2 linked regions of the Ovis aries genome follow. The protein of the gene in region 1 purifies or fractionates together with the protein of each later gene. This does not show direct contact. Links are inferred from orthologs where the notes say so. Each region holds a gene or a part of one and is shown on either strand. Other genes may lie near its edges. The genes, in order: PBXIP1 and SLC27A1.

What was found.
Region 2: the proteins of PBXIP1 (region 1) and SLC27A1 purify together in Homo sapiens (co-immunoprecipitation; 3 studies listed by BioGRID and IntAct, with this or other methods). This does not show direct contact. The link is inferred for Ovis aries from reciprocal best matches to the Homo sapiens genes PBXIP1 and SLC27A1.

Annotation. Positions count from the first base shown.
Region 1 is NC_056054.1:105,173,031-105,176,832, forward strand, and holds part of PBXIP1 (pre-B-cell leukemia transcription factor-interacting protein 1), read right to left. Parts: coding exon 3,749-3,802; intron 3,518-3,748; coding exon 3,453-3,517; intron 3,375-3,452; coding exon 3,206-3,374; intron 1,744-3,205; coding exon 1,513-1,743; intron 1,389-1,512; coding exon 1,365-1,388; intron 1,024-1,364; coding exon 941-1,023; intron 663-940; coding exon 534-662; intron 1-533. UniProt on the Homo sapiens protein: Regulator of pre-B-cell leukemia transcription factors (BPXs) function. Inhibits the binding of PBX1-HOX complex to DNA and blocks the transcriptional activity of E2A-PBX1.
Region 2 is NC_056058.1:5,389,333-5,393,134, reverse strand, and holds part of SLC27A1 (long-chain fatty acid transport protein 1), read left to right. Parts: intron 1-2,551; coding exon 2,552-2,946; intron 2,947-3,074; coding exon 3,075-3,236; intron 3,237-3,330; coding exon 3,331-3,400; intron 3,401-3,802. UniProt on the Homo sapiens protein: Mediates the import of long-chain fatty acids (LCFA) into the cell by facilitating their transport at the plasma membrane.

The sequences.
Region 1 (3,802 bases):
CCATTCCATTACAGCCTTTATGGCCTGAGAGACTCAGAGGATTTGGTTCTCATCTCCCACCCCATCCGCACCCTTCACCTGACCCTGGGATCCCCAAATTCTACCACAGGTCTTAGCTCTGTCTGTTTATAAGCCCACAACATCTTTAATTCACCTAAAGAGAGCCAAGATAGGACTCTCATTGCCCTATTTCAACCTCCTATACCCAGAACAGATATTATTAACTAATCACAGCACTTCTTTCCCACTGAGTCTTGGCCTGTTCTTCAAATCCTTCTCCACACAAGGCTCCAGGTAGACCATGCCAATCAAGCAGAGGTGGCATGCCACGTGAAGCAGATACGCAATCCTGGCCTAACCCTTAGCATGCAGGACAGGAACAAAACATGGAAGACGACTGGACTCTAGTGGGAAAGGGAGAGGGTCAGTATATGTGCGTGAACACAGGAAACTTCTTTGGGTGGAAGAAACTGGACAGACAGACACGCGGCCTAGGGAGGGTGTCTAGCCCACCCCATCCTGATTGTGCTCACCTGCAGCTGGGCCTGCAGTAGTCGGATGTCCTGGTTCTCCTTGGCCAGCTTATCCAGCAGAAGGGCCATGTTCTGCAGGCTGGGGACACTGTCCAGGAGCTCTGAGGTCTGTAGCTGCTGTAGTCCATCCTAAGGGCAAAGGTAGCTCAGTCAGTAAAGAATCTGCCTGCAGACACACACTCAAACACACACACAGGCACACAGACCCAGACACACAGACCCAGACACACAGACCCAGACACACAGACCCAGACACACACACACAGACAGACAGACAGACACACACACACACACACACACGCACACACACACACACGCGGGCAAAGGAGCCAGTCACCCCAGCTGAGCCCCACAACCCCGACAGCCCCCACCAGGCCCCTCACTCAGATGGAGACAGTCACACATGCCTGCCCATCCCCCACAGCCTCCAGCATCTCAGTATCAGACTCCATATCTGGCAAGACCTGCAGGTCCACTTCCTCCAGGGGCCCTGTGGGAAAGTGGAATCCTGAAGCTGGTCTCAAGGCACACAGAGCCCTCTCCTCCTCCCCGTCCTGCAACACCCCCCGCCCCCCTCCCCCACCCTGCCAACACCCCGCCCTGCCAACACACACAGTCACTGTCCTGCCCTGGACCTCGCCCTATGGCTGAGGGGTCCAGCAAGGTAAAAGGTCAACGGTCACCCCAAAGAGCTGACATAAGGCCTATAACTGAGCAAAAAATATATAGCCCCCAGGATCCCTACTCCTGACCCAGAGAACTGCCCCCATCAGCCTCCCTCAGGGCTGGAAGGGGACAGACACAAATGGGTCAGGCCCCATCCTCACTCACCACTCTCAGACTCTGAGAGACCACCTGAAATGGAGACAGAGGAGTCTGGTCAGGCCCGCAGGGGCAGGGGCAGAATGGGGTCGGAGTGCTGCAAGAGGGGCCACAGCAGAGGCTCAAGGTGCCGGCGGGGGGGGGGGGAACCACTCACCGAAGAGGAGGATCCCAAGGCCCAGCAGGACCAGGGACCCGAGGAGACACATGTTGAGGGAGATGCCCAGCGCCCCGCCCGCACCCTTGCCCTGGACCTGGTCCTCCACACCCAGGGTGGCTGCGGGCTGAGGAGTGCCGGGCTCCCGGCCCCGCCGTCTCCGCAGACCCGCCACATCCACATCGGTGTCGTCCTCGCTGCTGGAGTGGTGGGCCTCCTCCCTGATCCAAGCTGGGGGGAGGGAGGGGGACAGGGCAGTAAGGCAACTGGAGAGACGGGATGGACAGACAGACCAGAACCAGAGGAAAACACAGGAGACCCCCAGTCCTGATCACAGAGGGAGCGCATGGAGACCCTCCCACATGTGCCTGGGCATCAGTGACTACCCCTGCCCAGTCTGGAGGCTGAAGACCAGTCCTTTCTACTACAGACAAGATACAAGAGCGACTTTCATCCTAAAAGCGTCCTCCTGCTCCCACCTGTGCCCCCTGCCCTGGTTCTGTCGGAAACCTGGCCACACCCTCTCAGCGTCTCCTCTCAGTGCCTGGCTGCTCCTGGTCCTAGAGGCTGAGGTCTCCCTGGCACCATTTCTGCTCTTCTCACTGCACGCACAATCGCCCAGTCTCACCCACCCTGCCGGCTCCCCCCAGAGCAGACTGAGTCCCTCATCTGTAACTCCCGACTGGCCTCCCTAGAGCTCCAGGCCTGCATGTCTGACCACCTCCTGGTCTCTTCCACCTGGCTGTCCCTGGGGACCAAACACTCCACACGCTGCCCTCCAACCTGGTTCTCTCCTGGTTCTCTCCTGGCACTCCCCGATGCAGGGCAAGACGCCAGGGCTCCACGAGCCAACCTCAGCCCTCCCTTTGCCTCCCATGCACAGATCAACAACATGGCCCCTAAAGATCTCAGCGGCACATGCCTTGTATCTACCTTAGTCCAGGTCTTCCCCAGCTTCGTCGGACTGCAGCTGCCCCCGAATGGCCCCGGACCCCGCCTCCCCCTCCACCCTGTCACCCCTCAACAGAGATGGATTCACACACTCCTCCTGCCGCCAGCCTGGGACGCAGCCTCCTCGGTGCAGGACCGGGGAACCCAGCCCTTTGTGGATGCTGCAGCCCTGGCCTGCAGCGTTGTCTTCCTCCTACCCTACCTACCAAAAGTCCACTCTGCTCAAGGTTCCACTCCAATGTCCCCTCCGTTGTGAACCTTTTCCCCAGCTGTCCCTGCCTCCCCCTCCCCCTCGACCTGTCCCCTGACTAACCCACCCTCCTCCCTTCCCGTGGGGACACCTTAATCACACTGCCTTTGCACCCTCACAAGTCCGACTTGCACCTTGCCTCAGTCTAGTCCACCTCCTACACAGGCCGTGAAGCCAAGCTGCTTTCCCAGAGCTGACTCGTGGAAGGGACTCAGGGAATGAGAGGCAAATCTAGAGGCAAGTAAAGAGGAGGCCCCACAGCAGAGAAGAGTTGACCAGACCTAGGCCCTGCCACTTATCAGCTGTGTGACTTAAGCCTGAGTGTTCCCAGGGGTGACGGTGGTGAGGATTCACTGATACAGCTTAAGGAAGGCTCCAAGCTGCCAAGGCCTAAGGCCTAGACCAGAGCTGTGCTCGGCAGTGATGTCTATCTATTCCCACTCCAACACCTTCTAGAAGGATAGTGACAGGCGAAACAAGCAGGACTCTCACCTGTTTTGGGGGATGAAGGCAGGCTGCGGGAGGGGCTCTGATCCTCCAGGTCCTGTGAGTCCGGTTCCAGGCCTACCACCTCAGGGGTCTCCTCCAAGTCTCCCTGGGCCTCTGTGTCTCCTGGGCCGGGGGGCTCCCCTCCAGGGTCATCACCTTCCAGGACACCCTGCTGCAGACACAGCCGTGAGCACCTCCCACTTCCCTGGCCCTCCCCACTTCCCGCCCTTCCCCCAGGGAAGGTCCTCACCTTGGCCTCAGCCTGCTCTGACAGGATGGGCCCAGATTGGGAGCTCTCGCTCTGGGATACTGTCTCTGTGGCAGGAAAAAAGAGTCAGAAAAAACACCACGGCCCCCGTGGCTCCCACAGGCCGCGACCAGGTAGGAAGGGACAGGAGAAAGCCAGGATGGGATAAGGGAGGGTTTTAAACTGAGATCAATGCTGGGAATAAGACCAACTGGCCTTCCTCTCCCTGAGGAAACTGGGAAACCCCAGAACATGGAGGACAGGTGGCTGCACCGCCCCCCTCAACAGGGCCCTGTTACCTCCTCCATCCAAGGTCCCAGCCAAGTCCTCAGCAGCTGCCTTGGAGGGGCTTC
Region 2 (3,802 bases), on another chromosome or scaffold:
AACAGGTGGGCGTCCAGGAATGGCCACCTGAGCCAAGACCGCACAGAGGTGGACGAGGAGCCACTTGGATGTTGGGAGGAGTGGTCCAGGCAGAGGGCAGAGCCTGTGCAAAGGCCCTGAGGTGGAAGCCCGCCAGGTGTGCTCAAGCAACAGCAAGGAGACTGGAGTGAGTGAGTGAGGGGGAAATCTGTGGGGAGGATGGAGGGGGAGGAGGGTTGGGTCTCTCTAGGCCTGGCACACAGCAGGTGCTCCCCATCTGGGGATGAATGGAGTAGTCTGTGCTCCTGTGCTGGCTGCTGGAGAGGGCAGGCACACCAGGTCCTAAGTTCAGGCAAGAACAGCCATTCAGTTTCTGTTTACTGAGCATCTGCTACATGCTAGGCTGCTTGGCTGGAGCAGAGGTAACTTCCCTGGTTGCTCAGAACCCTGGGGAAAATGGACTCACAACAGGGTGGCTTCAGGGGTTTTGATGGGAGGCCGTGGGTAAAGGGGGTTGGGGAGGGCTCTTGGGGTGGACAAGAGAACATTCCCTGAGCCCAGCCAGCACGCAGTCTGGACTGGCCCCCTTTGGGGACATGATGGGGGAGCAGTGGGCACAGCACAGGGCCCGAGGCCTGGATGGCTCCCTGGGGGAGGAGGTGAAAGGAGTCACCAGAGAATGAGCAGGTGTGTAGGGCTGTGCTTAGCTCAGTGTGCTGGCAGCAGACGTGTGTGCAGATGCTCTGGCTGAGCCAAGTCACAGCGGCCACAGGATCCCGGTCCCTTCCCAGGGGCAGCTAGAGGGGCCCTCCAGGGACGCTCAGGATGTGCAGCTTGACCCAAACAGGAAGTCTCATAAATCTCTCAGAACCCTGACCTCTTGTTTTTAGAAACTGCCATGCAGGTGGCTGTGTGGATCCAACCTCTCCTCTAACAGACCTTCCTGACCACCCAAGACCTTGTCTTCCTCCATTCCCCAGGTCCAGTCCGACCCCAGGACCTTTGCACTGGCTTTGAACCTGGCTTTACACTCACACCACTGCTTTTCACTTCTGAGGCCCTGCACAGGCCTTACCTACCTGGCTATCTCCGGGGCCATCACTGCCTCCATTCTGACCCATGTCACTCTGACAGCCTTGTCATCATCTAGCACTTTCCTCATGCTCATTCATTTATGTAGAGGGGGTTTCTCTCCTGGGAAAACTATGAGCCTCGAAGGGTTGGATCTAGTCATCTCTGAGCCAAGAATGCCCAGTGTGCAGTAGGTGCTGGTACCAAGAAAAAAAGAAATCCTGAAACAAAGCCAATTAGATCTTCTAATTAAAATATAAATAAAGCCAATTAGATCTTCAAACTGAAAAAAAACAAAACACAGTAGGCCCTGATACACATCAGCTGCCTTCATGAATTAAGGACAGAGGGGATGAATGAATGGATGAAAACGCTGAGGTCTGTTGTGAATCTGTTGAGTCTGAGGAAGCCATTGCAGGGAATTAAGGAATCAGCACAGAGGAAGCAGTAGGGACACAAAGGATGGTTCTGATAACCAATTTGATGCTAAAACTGGTGGGACACAATAGCCAGATGAAGCCTAAAGAGGCAGCAGAGTCAAGACCACTTGTATTGGTCAGGGCAGAGGAAGCTGCTGTAACAAACAGGTCCTCACTCATCAGTGGCTTAACCCAGCACCAAGTTACCTCTCAGAGCCAGGGGCTCTGCATGGTGGGCCAGGGAGCCTGATAAAGCCAGGAGACCACTTGTTTCTTGAGCTCCTGCACTAGGAAATTTTGGCTTTCTCGGTTCATGATCTAAAAGCCATCACTTTTGCTTTAAACAATACAAACAAGTTCAAGTCTCACTCATCTCAAATGGCCTGGTGTCAGCGATGGCTGCTCATCCCAACAGGGTCATTCAGGAGGCTGGCTCCTTCTCCTGGAGTTCTCCTTTCCCCTCTGACCTCTGATTGCCTTGTATCTGCTGTCAGGTGGGGACAGAGGAACAGGACACCTGCCACTGGGGCCTCTCACTAGCCTGTCTCCTGGCCCCACCTGGGGCAGAGGCAGCTCCCCGCCTTAGGTGGGGGCACCCGAGCTGGATGGCCCAGTCACCTCAGCCTAGTGCCATTCAGTGACTCGGGAGTGGGGCAGCCACGCAGCTCAGGGATGGACCCCAGGGCTCAGCTGAGGCAGGCAGGGCATAAGGAGTCCAGGCTGGAGGCAGTGTGGAGTCAGCATGGGGTACTCTGGATCCCCGGTAAGGAGAAAGGAGGACTGGGCCCTGGCTCCTGAGGGTTACCGGGCAAGCTGTGATGCGGGAGGACAGGGTGAGTCTGATTAACACTGCATAGCCAGCTTTGAGAATCCGCCTCCTTCTGGGCTGGTTGAGAAATAGCCCTTTGCCCTTAGTCCTTCGAGAGACCCGGCACCCCAAGCATCCTCTTTGAACCCTCGCCGCCCTTAGGGAACTGGGGTCTCTTCCTCTGCCCTCTCCGTGTGGGGATGCCGAGGCTTGGGGAGGTATCCTGGGGTGAGTGGGGCACCTAGTGACACCGGCTCCTCATCCCCCCTGCCAGCGGCCTCTCCGTGCTGATACGCGTGCGCCTGGAGCTGCGGCGGCACCAGCGCGCGCGCCACACCATCCCGCAGATCTTCCAGGCGGTGGTTCAGCGGCAGCCCGAGCGCCTGGCGCTAGTGGACGCGGGCAGCGGTGCGTGCTGGACCTTCGCGCAGCTGGATGCCTACTCCAACGCTGTGGCCAACTTGTTCCGCCGGCTGGGCTTCGCGCCGGGCGACGTGGTGGCCATCTTCATGGAGGGCCGGCCTGAGTTTGTGGGGCTTTGGCTGGGCCTGGCCAAGGCAGGTGTGGAGGCCGCGCTGCTCAACGTGAACCTGCGACGGGAGCCCCTGGCTTTCTGCCTGGGCACCTCGGGCGCCAAAGCCCTGGTCTTCGGAGGGGAGCTGGCGGCGGGTGAGGCCGGGTGTGGGTAGCATCTTGTCGGTGGGGGCCTGGGGCTGGTCAGGGCAGGGAGACAGTGCTTCCCCGGCCCTGGGAGGGGCACCTGTCCATCTTCAACCACGACATGTTTCGCGCCGCAGCGGTGGCGGAGGTGAGCGGGCAGTTGGGCAAGAGCCTGGTCAAGTTCTGTTCTGGAGACGTGGGGCCTGATGGCGTCTTACCGGACACCCAACTCCTGGATCCGCTGCTGAAGGAGACCTCCACAGCCCCCCTGGCGCAGCCCCCTGGCAAGGGCATGGATGGTGAGTTCAGGTGGGATCCCCCTGCCTGTGCCTATCCTGTCCCCTCGTCCCACCCAGCCCAGCCTCTGGTCCCCAACACCCGTGTCTCTCTCAGATCGACTCTTCTACATTTACACGTCGGGGACCACGGGGCTGCCCAAGGCTGCCATCATCGTGCACAGCAGGTGAGGGGCTCGTGGGTGTTGCCCACCCTGCTTCTGCCACCCCCCACCCCCACCCGCACTGGAGAGCCACTCCAGGTCGTCTCTAAGGCTTGATCCTCCTGCCTCCCTCCCCACCCCAACCACCCCCTGGCCCCCCCACCCCCCAGCTCTTGTTGAGGATATTGTGGGCATCTTGAACTCAACTGGGTAAAACCCACAGCCCATCTCAGGACCCAGTGCTGTCCTCTGCCCCTCCTCAGCCTCCGCCTGCCCCCAACAGCCCTCCTCTCCTCCACGACCGGAGGACAACCAACTCATGCCAAACCGCCCTGTTCTTACCTTGACCCTTGGATAAAAAGCCTCATTCGTGTTGTGCGCCAGCTGCCGCTTCTCTGATGCCATTTTCCTCCTCTGCCTCTTTGC